Schizosaccharomyces pombe: one gene and its partner. The gene in region 1 interacts genetically with each later gene. Each region holds a gene or a part of one and is shown on either strand. Other genes may lie near its edges.

Region 1 (5,336 bases):
TGTAATTGTTTGTGAACGATTCCTCGGATTTGATTCTTCGGAAACCAGCTTGGCTTATATGAATCTTTCTCTATATGAATTCTCTCAAAAAAATGAAATGCAGGCAGTGATGCATATGCAGCATGCACTAAAGCTGTGGTATTTGGTTTTTGGACCAGATCATCCTAATACTATTAACTCATTTACTAATCTTTCTCTTATGTTACATGGCTCTGAAAAATTCATTCAGAGTCAGAAGTGTTTGCAAATTGCAGTCGATCTATCAGACAAAATTTTCGGCAAAACTACACCTACTGCTTCTCTGTATTTACAGCTGGCTCAACTAATGGTTCTTAACAAGGACAGTCGTAGCGCATTGCATGCAGTGCGCGTGGCCTACGACATATTAAAGGAAACCTTAGGGCCAGACCACCAAAATACGAAAGAAGCCGAGCATTGGCTCTCCGAATTTACTGCACTAGCTGTCAATCAAGAAAGACAATCTCGGACTTAAAATTATCACATGCATATAAAAGTCCTTTAAAAAGCATGCTCACAATTAGTGAGCTATAAAAGCATTAGGGCATTCTTCATAATTGTTTGCCAATTTAGAAAATTTGTCCAAAGGACTGATAATGACTTCGTACAGAAACGGACCATCCAAATAATAAATAAAATAACTATTAAGGTGTAAAAATCTGTAAACAAAAACAAAACAAAAGGATTATCATATCATGCGCATCTAGACAACGACGTCTATTTAATAAAACATAATTTAGGTTAATTATAGACCGTTCCCATAAAAACTACAATCCAAACCCATATCATCAAAAACATTAGGATTGTAAACATTAGCAGCAGCAAAATTTAGATCTAACTGATCCTTAAACGGGAACATTGACATTGTTTGATCTAACACGGGAGTTATATTTGCATGTAGCTCATTTTCCTGAACAGAATCAAACTTATACTGGTCATTTGTGTTAGATGAATTTTGGAGGTTTTGATGCATTTGTAAGATGCTGTTATTAAGAGAGTTCAGATACCCGCTGTTATCAAATATAGAGGAGGGAGAATTGCTTTTAACACTTGTATCTGAATGGTTGCTGGATATACGTGGTGGTACATGGCTTTGCGATTTTAGGGAAACATCCGCAATATCAGGCATGCCAGAATTAGTAACATCTTCGTTCGTAGCTAAGTTGCTGCTAAAATTGATTGCTATTTGCTTAGCCTTTTGCATAGCTGCCTGAGCAGTCGAGATCATACTTTCTAAAGCATCCATAACGACATTCAAACGAACAAAACCATGTGTTTCAAAACTTATTAAACGATTTTTTACGGAAATTAAACAATTCAAATCTTCAGAACATATAGAAGCAAGAGGCCGCTTCAATATACTGATAAAGATGATAATCGAAGATGTAAAGGCATGATACATAATGATTTTCATTATCAATGGCTGTAGATCAACCGATTCCACGAAAAGATTTGTAATGGAGCGAGCTGCCGCAATGCATAAAGCTTGAGAATCTGTTATAGAGCCAGTCCCTCTATGGACACAATTCACCTGAAGATTTTTTGTAAGAGAATGACGATGAATAAGGATTAAACATGAATAATAAATAGCAGATGTTAAAATCAGATTGCTCGAGCAAAATTTGGGAATTTTAAAACGATTCCGAGGTTGCATACAGTCGGGAAGACTGTTATACCAGTTGTTTAGCAAAAGGTCAAACTCAAGTATTTTTTCCATAACTTGAGAAGAATTAGACTTCATGCCACTCACTGAGTATAGTTCCTTTAGGACTTGGCCAACAATTCGCGTTAACTGCACCTCGGCTTCCAAAAAGTTAAAAGTACCCAAAGGATCTCCTTCGGGTGGCTTAAGTCCATAATAGCAATAAATAGAGTAAAATGGCACCATTTGATCAATGTCATCGTCCTGAAAAGCAACGGGTTTTCCTGTCATCATCGAGGATACTCTATCCAAATAATATATATACCAAAACAAACGAGCTTTCTCTTCCGCATCCTCCTTTCCAATAGACCACATTGCACTGTTTCGATGAAGACCTAGCGTTTGTGCAACTCTAACGACTACACCAACGTTCAACCAGACCGCATTTGGTTTGGAAACTGCGCAATAATAGACTGAAGTAAGAAAATTGAAGACCAGAGTACGGAAGCTCATATCTTTAGTAACTTCAATACTGATTCCGAGAGTGTTTTTAAATAGAGCATTAGCTCGGGAAACTTGCTCTTCAGTATCCGCTATAGCAAGACAACCAAGAGATAAAACAACAACGTATGAAGCATAATTAACCAGATCAATGGAACCATCGGGTTTTTTGAAACAATTTGGGGAACCAAATTTTTGGTAAAAATTTTCTCTTGTAAAAACAGGAAATAAAGGATTGTATGATTTGAAGTAGGCATCTATGTATATATTGGCAATCTCTGAAGAAGGTAATTCGGCTTTTGAGCCATCGAAACTCTCATCAGGATCAAACAAACAACCCGATTTAGCCATGGACAGATGCTCTAAAACTTTATCGGATTCAACTCCTGATGCAAATTTTGCAGCATGTTGAATAATGGAAAAGGTAGATGAAGAGCCGAAATATTTTTGAGAACCGATCGGAGTAGTGACGAGAGTCCCCATTTTTTCATTCAAAAACGCTATATCGTCGGTGGAGTCATCGGAAGAAGTTTCGCCTTTCGTACAGTTTAGATCATGATAGTTTTTGGGAGTAGAGGAGGGATGTATAATATCAGGCTGCTGGTCGTAGTTCGGAATTACGGATCTCAGAGTAGACTCCATTTGTTCTAATCTAGAAACGAGCGACTTAATGTACATTTGTCTCTGACCTGTTCTTCTTTTAGGTCTAGCTGTAAATACGCATGGGATTCCGTGACTAACGCAATTCGAACATGCAGGTTGCTTTCCATCACAGCGAATCTTCCTTTTTCTACACATGTCACAAGCTCTAGGAATTCTTTTTGGTTTCCCCATGTTATCCCCGTGGCGAGGTGAGTCTTCCTCCGGCGATGCTGATTTCAAATTTTCCATCCGGTAACAATTTTTTCAATGTACAAGTGCAACGACAGTCGATTAGCAAATATTAAGATATGCCAAAGATATTAAAAAATAGAATAAAAAAGCCAATCACTTAGCAATACCTACAATATAGGACGTTCGTTTTCTGAGTAGTTAAAATGTGCGGGTCCAAAAAATGTTCCTTAAAAAGTATTTTCAGTAAGCGATTTATTATGAAATAAAGCTTTCATTTATAAATTAAGCACCAATTATTCGTTTTTAACAATTCCGATAAAAATTTTTAACCAAGTTGTGTTAGTCACGTTGATGCGTGTAGATTACTATATCAATCCGATTTTACGAAACTTATCGTGCTGAGCAATTGGGAATAAATGTAGAAAAAATACAGAAGCTCATTAATTTTGATGAAAGTCGTTCAAATTTTGATTTAATTTCATTATTAAATACTGAAATTAAATAATCAAAATAGTTTTTGCGAACAAAAACTAAGTTATACAGGTAGGTACATTTACCACATACCTGAGGGGTAGCATTAGAAAAACAGAACGAAAAGTTACATAAATTAAAAATAAAGCTTTTTGTTTTCTTTGGAAACGGATCAAAATTGAATTAAGACGGATCGGAGGAAGTCCGAAGTCCGACTTCTCAAAAAACATCTCATCCCTACATTGCAAACATAAAAGTTCGACACTAGATTTCAGAAAGCTTTTGCGAAAAAGAAAATTAAAAAAAAGCTTTTTCAATTTAATTTTGCTTTCATAAACTCGCCAAACTCCAAAAGCTATAAATTATAAGTTCCAACTTACCAATGACTGTAAATCAGTGAGGTGAAATAAATTGCTTTTTCTTTTAATGGTCTGTCGTTCATTCATAACACCGATTTAAATGAACAAAAGAAAAAAAAATCCTTTTGTTCTATTTGTCGTACAAAGTAATTCATGCCCAGTCTAAAATAAAGTGAAGTTCGTAGAGAAAAAGAAATGTGGGACAAGCAAGACTATCCTTTGTTAAACCAAATAGAAATTTAAAAGTTCCTCAAGAATATGCCATTTAACCTCCAAGATCGGATATCCAGGTTAAAGAGATCTGAAAACCATGACCAATCGAACCCGGTATAAATTAGTATGAGTTAACGCGATATGCACCACATGAGTTCAACGTTTCTAGTTTTCATTATTCGAAAAAATATGAAATTCTTCCTGCTAAAACACTATACTAAATGTTCATATGTTATTATTGTTCAAAAAACAAGGCAAAAAATTTAACATAACGCTCCACAATAAAAAAAAGATTTGAAACATGTAATTCTAGAGGTTATGTGTATCCCAATCAACGTTAATGATAACACGTGTCTTGAAATGAGTATGCATTAAAACGGAAATATAATATGGATATAAGCAGACAGGAAAGTACGCACGTGAACAACCATTAAATTAATTCCTTCAAGTATTACGATTTCCTTTGGATATCTGAATCCTTCATAGACACATGCTTTCGACGCCAATCCTTAAAATATTAAAAAAAACAAAAATAAATTTTACATCAAAATACAACAAAACTTCTCTAATTTGGAACCTTTCTTTTTAGGAGGTTTTTCACTTTTTTCAGAAGGTTTTTCTTTAGGTACTGGTGTTGCACTAGCAGCTGGTTGTGTATAGTCTCTGGTTACATGAGGTGGCATTTCAGATTCGTGGACACTCAAAGAATTCTGAATTGACGGAGCAGCTGGAGGATCTGGTGACCCATCACCAAGGGCGGGTACAGAAGCCGAAGGCAAAGGTGAGCTTCTTGAGTAAGTAGGTCGTTTCGGTGAAACTTGAGGTGTAGGAGTTAAATTGGCGTAGTTAGGTTGGTTCAAATTCACAGTGGAATCATTGGCATCCGATTGAGGAATATCTGACTCCTGCTCATCTTCAGTATTGGTGGAAGTAAAACGTGGAAATGGACTCCCAGTATTCGGTTGAGGTTGAAAAGAACGCATTGATTGAGAAATGGCTTCCGAAGATGCTGTACTAGCGTTGTCTTCAGAATGAGTGTCTACATCATATACAATAGGAGAATCACTCCTCGAAATGCGATTCGGTGTTGATTGCGTCTGCGCGCCAACCTGGAAAGGTCGATCTGCATCATTGTAGGAAGATTGAAAAGACGATTTACGAGATTCAGAATCGGTTTCTGCAACCTTCTTGGGATTTTGAGAAGGCGAATAAGTAACGGCGGCTTTGAGAGACTCATATTCAACTGAAGAAGCAGGTACGGGAGACGACATATCTGGCACAGATACAGGTCGAGCCTT
Region 2 (7,997 bases), on another chromosome or scaffold:
CACCCCATATTAATACATTTAACCAGTTCCGGTAATCTTTTTACCAAGCCAAGTACTTCTAAGCTTCATGACTCGGAATACGTAAAACAACAAAAGCACCGCAAAGATATTGAAGAACACATAACCAACAAAGATACCCAAATTTCTCCAGCGATGAGTATAACGCATACTAAACCGCTCCAAAAACTGGTCAGCGGTTTGATATGGACAGTAACTGCATGAGGTTGTAGCATTAGGATTTAAGAGGTTTCCAGCAGCTGTGTTATTAGTTAAGAAAGCACTCATATATTCACCGCATGTTTGACCGCTAGGAGGGTTGATAGTAAGCATCTCATGAGACTTGCATTCAACTGGAAGTCCATGCACCAAATCAGAAAGTAATCCTTCGATCAAATAGGTAAACGGAGTCAACGAATGCATCCAATGCCAAAATCCGACCAAATTACTATTAGGCTGCAGAACACCGTTAAATGTAATCACGAATGTGAATAACAAACTGTTGACAACGGACGCTGTTTGAGCATTAGGGCACGCACTGGCGACAGCTTGGCCAAAAGTTGAGAAGTACATTTGGAAGAACATATAAAGCAACCAAGCGTAACCAGTTTTGTCACCAGGATGATGAATATGCTTATAAAACTTGATTGGATAAAACCAACAAAGGAAGAAAAGCGTGCCAAACACCAGGTTAAATGGAATTTCTACTATAATGGCTGAAAATACGAATGCAACCCAACTGTAAATATTCGAAGGCTTTTCTCTAACTTCAAAGACGTTACGCAACTCAATAAATTTTGGTTGAAGACCATTAATCAAAGGAACTGCAAGAACGGTTGCCATAAACACAGCGAAAAGCTTGTTCTGAATATTCTGTACACCGAGACCTTGATTATAAAATGTAAATCCAATAAATAAACCAGCGAAAATATCCAGTGCTAATTTAGACATCAATATAGAGGGCTCTCTCCAATAAGACTGGAAATTTCTGGTCATGACCATTTTGACTTGGAACCACAGAGGCATGGCGTAAGTGCTCCTATCTTCCTTTGACAAAGTCTTTTTATCCTCACTGTTTGAGAATGAAGCGTTAATTTTGTCTAGCTCTGCACTAATGGCTTTACGTTCTTCTGAGTTATTCCAAACTTCATGCCAATCACGATTAGTAGTGGCAGTGGCACCAGCACCAATAACATCTAAAATGTATTCAGCTGGATTACCGTCGTCAGGACAATGTACTGCTCCATGAGATTCAAAGTAATTTAACAAAGTCTTAGAATGTTCTCCTATATCACCAAAGTACACTGTTTTACCACCTTTCTGTAGCAGTAACAATCTATCAAATTGATCAAACAGTACGGCACTGGGTTGATGGATTGTACAAAGAATTGCTTGACCAGCATCAGCTAATTTTCGCAAGAAACAAACAATGGACCATGCAGACTGACTATCTAGACCAGAAGTTGGCTCGTCTAAAAACAACAATAAAGCAGGCTTCGCAGCCAACTCGACACCAATGGTTGCACGCTTACGTTGTTCTACGTTCAATCCGGAGCCAGGAGTACCGATAATTGCTTCAGCATAGCTCTCCATTTCCAAAAGTTTAATGACTGATTCGACATATTCGTACTTTTCCGAAAGAGGAACGGAAGCAGGTTGACGTAGAGCAGCACTGAAACGCAACGCTTCTCTAACCGTAGATTCACCAATGTGGACATCCTGCTGTTGTACATAACCAGTGCGCCGTTGGAAAGTTGAATCCAATCCTCTACCATTAACCAACATGTCGCCAGTTACTACACCAGTGTCAACACGTTGAGCAAGTACATTTAGTAAAGTGGTTTTACCAGCACCGGATTCACCCATCAAAGCCGTCAATTTACCTGGAACAACAAAGCCTTGCACACCATTAAGTAACCGGCGATGCTCACCTTTTATTTGAATGTCGTAGTTAAGATTTCTCCAGCTGAAAATGTCATGGCCTTTTTCAATTCCTTCATATTCCTTGTTAAGCTCTTCTTCGTTGTCCGGAGACTCTTTAACAACGTCACCACCTTGAGTATCTTGACCAGTTTCTAAATCCAGCGGTTTTCCACCTTCATTGACAGCTGCTTTTACAGCGTCAGGAGCATGGCCGCGGCGAAAGACCAGATATTCACCTTTCAAATCGTTGAAATTAAGAGTTTCACTGGCGACGATGTTGACAAATACCAAGAACGCATAATATCCAATAATAATAGCCAAATTTCTCCATAATTGACGCGTCTTGTAGTTGAAACTAATATACAAGTAAGTTGAGCCGTCAACGTAATCTGTTCCAGGTTCTGCAGAGGTGACGGGACAGATTTTGTTAGCTACAGGATAATTGTCATATCCACTACCGTACGGAATCAATTGAGAGCATTCGAACTGTCGTGCCTTGAATTCATTAATCATTAAAGACTCAAAACCAAATTGCAACGGGTCGAGATAAGCAATCCAGCGGAACCACCATCCAACGTCGATATTAGGAATAGCATAACCAGTGTAAATGGCAATTGCAAGCACACCGATACCACCCAAAGCAGATGCAGATTCAACATTGGGCATAATTCCAGCTAATGATCGAAAAAAGGCAGACATACAAGTAGCACCTATGAAAAGGAACAAAAAGTAAGTCCAAAATCCGCCAGCAGTCCTCTTTAAATTTGTTAAAAAATACAACACAATTGAGAAAACCGAAATATTAATGAATCTGAAAGGTAGATCGACAATCAAGCTACTAATAACATCTGCAGCAGGATGGTACAAAGCAGAAGCTCTATGCTTAGCAATGATGGGTCGTTGGGAAAACATATTAGCGATTTCAGAAAGACTCTGAAGTGCGCAAAACAGAATAGAGAAGAAAAGAACACCACCACGTGAGAATACATCAACGGTGTTTAATTTCATATCGTAGAAAATAGAACCGATAATAAGAGATTGGAAAAGGAAAGCAAAAGCCATTGAACCAATATATGCAGGATCATTGATATATCTCTCCCATGACCTAGCTAAACAATACCACAACTGTTGACTAAAAGTCACAGTATACGGAGAGGTATCCTTAACACGTTTACTCTTTTCCGCTACCGCACTTTGACGATAGAGCTCATGCTTGGTAGTGGCAGAGATATCGCTTCCAAAGTTGTCTTTTTCGGGGGCTTCAGAAGAAGCAGGAGTAGTCTCGGTCCACCGTTTGTCATAGCTTTCCATTTCGGCCATAAGGTCAGCATATACAGAACTATTGCGCCACATTTGTTCAAACTCATCAGGGGTTCTGGGAACGCGATTTTCGAAACCCTTTCTAGGAAACCTAGCCTTCGGGTCAGAAATAGCAGTGAGGAAGTCAGGAGTTGTTTCACGAGGATGACAGTCAAACCCCATATCTAAGAAGTATTGCTTGGCTTTGTCAGCTGGTCCATAATAAATTTGCCTACCGGCATAAAGTACACAAATTCGATCGAAAAGTTTGTAAATCTTTTCCGAAGCTTGGTATGCAGTAACGAAGGATGTCATTTTAAGTTCATTGGCACAAGTGCGAAGGACATTGACGAACTCGAAAGCCGTACTAGAGTCCAAACCACGAGTACTATTATCCCAGCAAGCGATAGTTGGACGAGTAGCAAAACCTTCACTAATAGTTACACGCTTACGTTCACCACCAGAGACACCACGTACGAAATCATTACCTACCTTGGTATTGAAAGTGTGTGTCAAGCCAAATGCGGTAGCAATTAAATGCCTCTCACGACTCACATATTCTTGACGGGTGAGGTTGCAAGGACGGTTGTTTGGGGTACGGCATTTAGCCGCAAAATCAAGGGTTTCAGCGGTAGTCAAAGATGGGAAATGGACATCGTTTTCACCACTGTATAAAAGATCACCGGGGAAAAACTTTTTCATGTCGGCCTTGTCAATACCGTCATAATGAGTGGTTCCCTCGACACGCTTGTAGTGAACAGTATCGCTAGTAACTGAACGCAAGAAAGTGGAACATCCAGAACCTGGTTGTCCCAAAACCATCACCAGTTCACCAGCATTGGCAAGAGCATGACAATGACTTAAAATGGCTTTTTCCACCACTTGTTTTTCAGTGATAGCTCGATAAGGTTGTAAAAAAATATCAGGAAATGTTTTCAAAAATTCATATCCAGAACCAACGCCATAAACACTATGGTCGCGCATGCAGACACCACTACTACGAGTGATGATATCGTCTCGTTGTAAAGAATCTTTGTATGCTCTTAAATAATGCTTCAAGTTGAAGTTTTCCCCTAGTTCAAAGGGATCACCGGCCAAACGGTCGACCGATGAATCATCAGATGAGGAAGAATCCGAATTCGATGAGGATTCTGGGGAGGGTTCGTTTGATGAAGATGGGACGTAACTTTGATTACCTTTTGAACGGTATTCCTCATTAGTGTGTGATGCCTTCTCATTGGATGAAGGATTAGAAGAATCTAAAGACTCGTCAACATTCGAAGAAGAATCCTCGAAATGATCAGAGGAATTAGAAATACGCGTAACCTCGGTGGTATGATTTAAAGTACTGCCTAAGGCCTGACCGTGAGTAGTATCCGAATTTTGATTCATTTCGTAATGTAAAAAGGAATATAAAAGGGAAACAAATCAAAATAGAACAGGATAGGAAAAAAGAAAGTAGAAAAAACCGGAAATGATGTTTTATATTAGTAATTGAACGATTCAAAAGAAAAAATTTTGAAAACACCACGATACAATTGAAACAAGTTGAACTCTATAAATCGAGCTGAAAAAAAAAAGCAGATCGACGTCCAACGATTTAAAAAAAACGAGAAATGAAAAGTTTAATAAAATAAACGACAAAATTACCAAAACGTAAGAAGAATTAGAACGCTATTTCACAAGACAGTAAACTTCAAGTTGTGAAAATAATAAGAAAAACGCAAACGAAAGTACGTGAATTGAACGAAAACGCTAGGGAAAACGACCAACAACAAGTTTAAAAAAAAAGCGAAAGCGAATCGCAACCAGAAAGACTTTCAAACAAAATTAGTGAGTGATGATGAAGTAAGCAACCGAGCTCACTGTACACTGAAGAGAAAAGTTTTATTGTTTAACAAGTGGGTGAAGAAAATAATTTAAAATTAGGAGAGGAACGAATGGGGAATCGAACAGTACTTTTTAAGCTTGGCTTAAAAAGCAGTAAGATTACTAAAGGAAGAAGATAAAAAAATGAAGGATCTCCTTTGGAAAGTTCAAATAGATACTATAACAAATATAGATAAATAGATATGTATACGGTTGTATGTATAAAAAATATTTATCTATCTATATATATTTTATAATATATAGAAAGAAGGCTTCTTTTTTATTAGAGTGAATTTTCCCAAACGCAATAGGGGAAAAAAAATTTCGTTCTTGTCTGCCTGTGAGATTGCTCGTAATACGAATCGCCAATTCGTGTTGATTCAGACTCCTACTGAAAAAGTGAAAGACGACTGGTCAATAATACGAGTAAATGAAAGTTTTATAATAGGAGCAGGGATGAAAACCTAGCACCACAGGTATGCTTATGACAAGAAGGGAAGAGAAGGGGCAAATAGGAAGAAGAAAGAAGCAACGCCAATTTTTTAGAAGAGGAACTAGTTTCAAAGATAAGAAAAGCAAAATTTCCTGAAAAACAATGGCTTTTTGCAGGCCACGTTTCAAAAGAAGAAAGAGAATCCAATAAGTTTCCGCAAGAGGAAAGAAATGTATCTAGAAGACAGGTAGGAAGAGGGAAATGGAAATGCAAGGGAAACGGGAGAAAAGGTAAGAAAGCTAAAGCTTCCTGAACTCCAACAAAAGCTTGAAAACCAAACAAAAAGGAACTAAATCGAGATAACGGTCTCTACGAACTCAATAAAAACGACGTTTCGTTGCGCTTCAAAGGATAAACCAGAAAGCAAGTTGGTTATCGAGAAAGTAGGGAGCAATTTCTTCGTTCTTTAATATGAACTGCCAAACGCTAGGAAGATGATGTGAAAAAAATGGTGGCCGCTGACTCGCTTTAGTAAACAATTTCGTTCGGCGCTTTGACTCTCCGGAGTGATGTCATAGAAAAGCGATCGACTAAACACCGAGGAGCAAGCAAGCGATAAATTTGCCTTGTATAATAGTATGACTAAGACAACTCGATAATAAGAGACGCAACAAGAAAGAGAGGGTTTAGAGACGAAATGAGATGAAAAACCGATAAAAATGAGTGTAATATGAGAGAAAGAACAAAAAAAATTTCAATGAATTAAAAGCGAGATTCTCTTGAATCAAAAAGATTGAGAAAAGAGTCCAAAATCCCTTTTATAAAGTGTTTAACCTCAGAAAAAGCCCAAATTTTCTCGAAATTTCCCCCGACTTTAGCATAGTTTTTATTATTTTACAAAGTTCTTTTGTTTGTTCATAATTTCAGAGATTGTTTTGCAAACCAACAAAGACCCGAATCGTCCATCTGGTACGAGCGCTCATCTTTATCTTTCTTTTGTTTACATGTCAAAGGGAAATACAAAAGTGAGTGAAAAGTTTCTCTATTTTCATTCAAACTTCCTACTTCTTGGTCTATTTTTTATTCAAATGACTTGATGAATTTGAATATTGGTTTAAAACCTGACAAATCCTACCTTTTTTCCATTTAACTACGCGTTCAACGTTTCCTCTCCTGCGCTACTTTTAGCTATAGACACTTGCTCTCTCACTCTCTCAGTAATGTAAATTTAACGACAAATAGCGTTTTCGTAAACCTCTTTAGTAGCGTTTCCTAGCAGCGAAGCACTCAAACATAGTCGGGATCGTCCAAGTTCCGAAATTACCGCTGCGCGGTCAACTACAGCATTTGCTGTTATCACGATACAGCGATACGCAAGAGGCTAATTTCTAAATTCCGATGCCCGATGTCCGAGCACCTCGCGTTTGAGAAGTGTCGCACATTTGGCATCAAATGCAGCTCTTGCAGATCTGATTAGTAAGAAATGAGTAAGCGCAAAGAATAACGAGGAAAAGAGAATGTGTTGAATGGAATAATGAGGAATAAAGGAGTGCGATCGGGAAGATTACGAAGGAGAGTAGATATACTCAAATTTGCAAGGATAAAGGATAAGGATTACGAATAGAGATGATTACTGAAGAATTTGTGAGCAATTGTTTTTTTTTTAATTTATCTGATTAAATTGGAATGGATGTCCAGTATAGAATATGTTCATGCACTCTCTCTGCACTTTGCAAGATGAATTGCATTGTAACGATCGAGTGCGCTATGTAATATTACGCTGCGCTACTGTTTTATTCCCATAAAGACTTGAAAAGGTAAATAGCCAAACTGACTTTAAAGTTGGTTTTGACTTTTTCTCCTTTCTAGCATAAATACTGCTGCACATTGGATCAGTTGTTAGTAAGTAGAAGATTGAGTAGCTAGAAATTGTAGAGAGCGAAATATTCTCTTGACCGATTACATTCCCACTGTCTCCCGTTTTTGTTTTGCCTACTTTGTACTGCGTCTTCATCGTTTGTCCGACTGTGTGTGGGCGCCATGTTTCTAGCTAGTGTGCCCAGTACGAGAAGTTTCTATTACTGAGCGCATGTCGAAATTACTGGGCAAATTTGACACTTTGAGAGCAGCTCGATCGCATCGCTCTCAAAGTACTAAAAAATTGTCCGTTTCGATGCTGCGAAAAGTTGGACATCATAGTGCGAAGACCATCGTAAACTTGCCTATCATGTGTTAATAACATGGTCCAACATGTTGATGAAGCAATCCTACCAAATCGGCTACAAATACTATGGCACGAAATACGTGAATGCAATATGGCTCATCTCTTTACCTCTCTCTATAGGTAAATATGTAAATACTTAAGGCAAATTAAATTCTTTTTTCATCCACTTAAGCATTTTAACGTGTCATTTCGCACTGCTTTGTATTTTATTAATATTTTATTAAACAAAATGCGATAACTAGCGTAATTTGG

Evidence for each region.
Region 2: mutations in prt1 (region 1) and bfr1 impair growth when combined (synthetic growth defect), as found in Schizosaccharomyces pombe (one study listed by BioGRID).

What each region holds. Positions count from the first base shown.
Region 1 is NC_003423.3:794,299-799,634, reverse strand, and holds prt1 (transcription factor), read right to left. Parts: upstream 3,337-5,336; 5' UTR 3,053-3,336; coding exon 764-3,052; 3' UTR 641-763; downstream 1-640. Other genes in the region: Tea1-anchoring protein Mod5, read right to left, coding at 4,578-5,336.
Region 2 is NC_003421.2:709,397-717,393, forward strand, and holds the start of bfr1 (plasma membrane brefeldin A efflux transporter Bfr1), read right to left. Parts: upstream 6,023-7,997; 5' UTR 4,612-6,022; coding exon 19-4,611; 3' UTR 1-18. UniProt on the Schizosaccharomyces pombe protein: Confers hyper-resistance to brefeldin A (BFA), an inhibitor of intracellular protein transport. Could serve as an efflux pump of various antibiotics.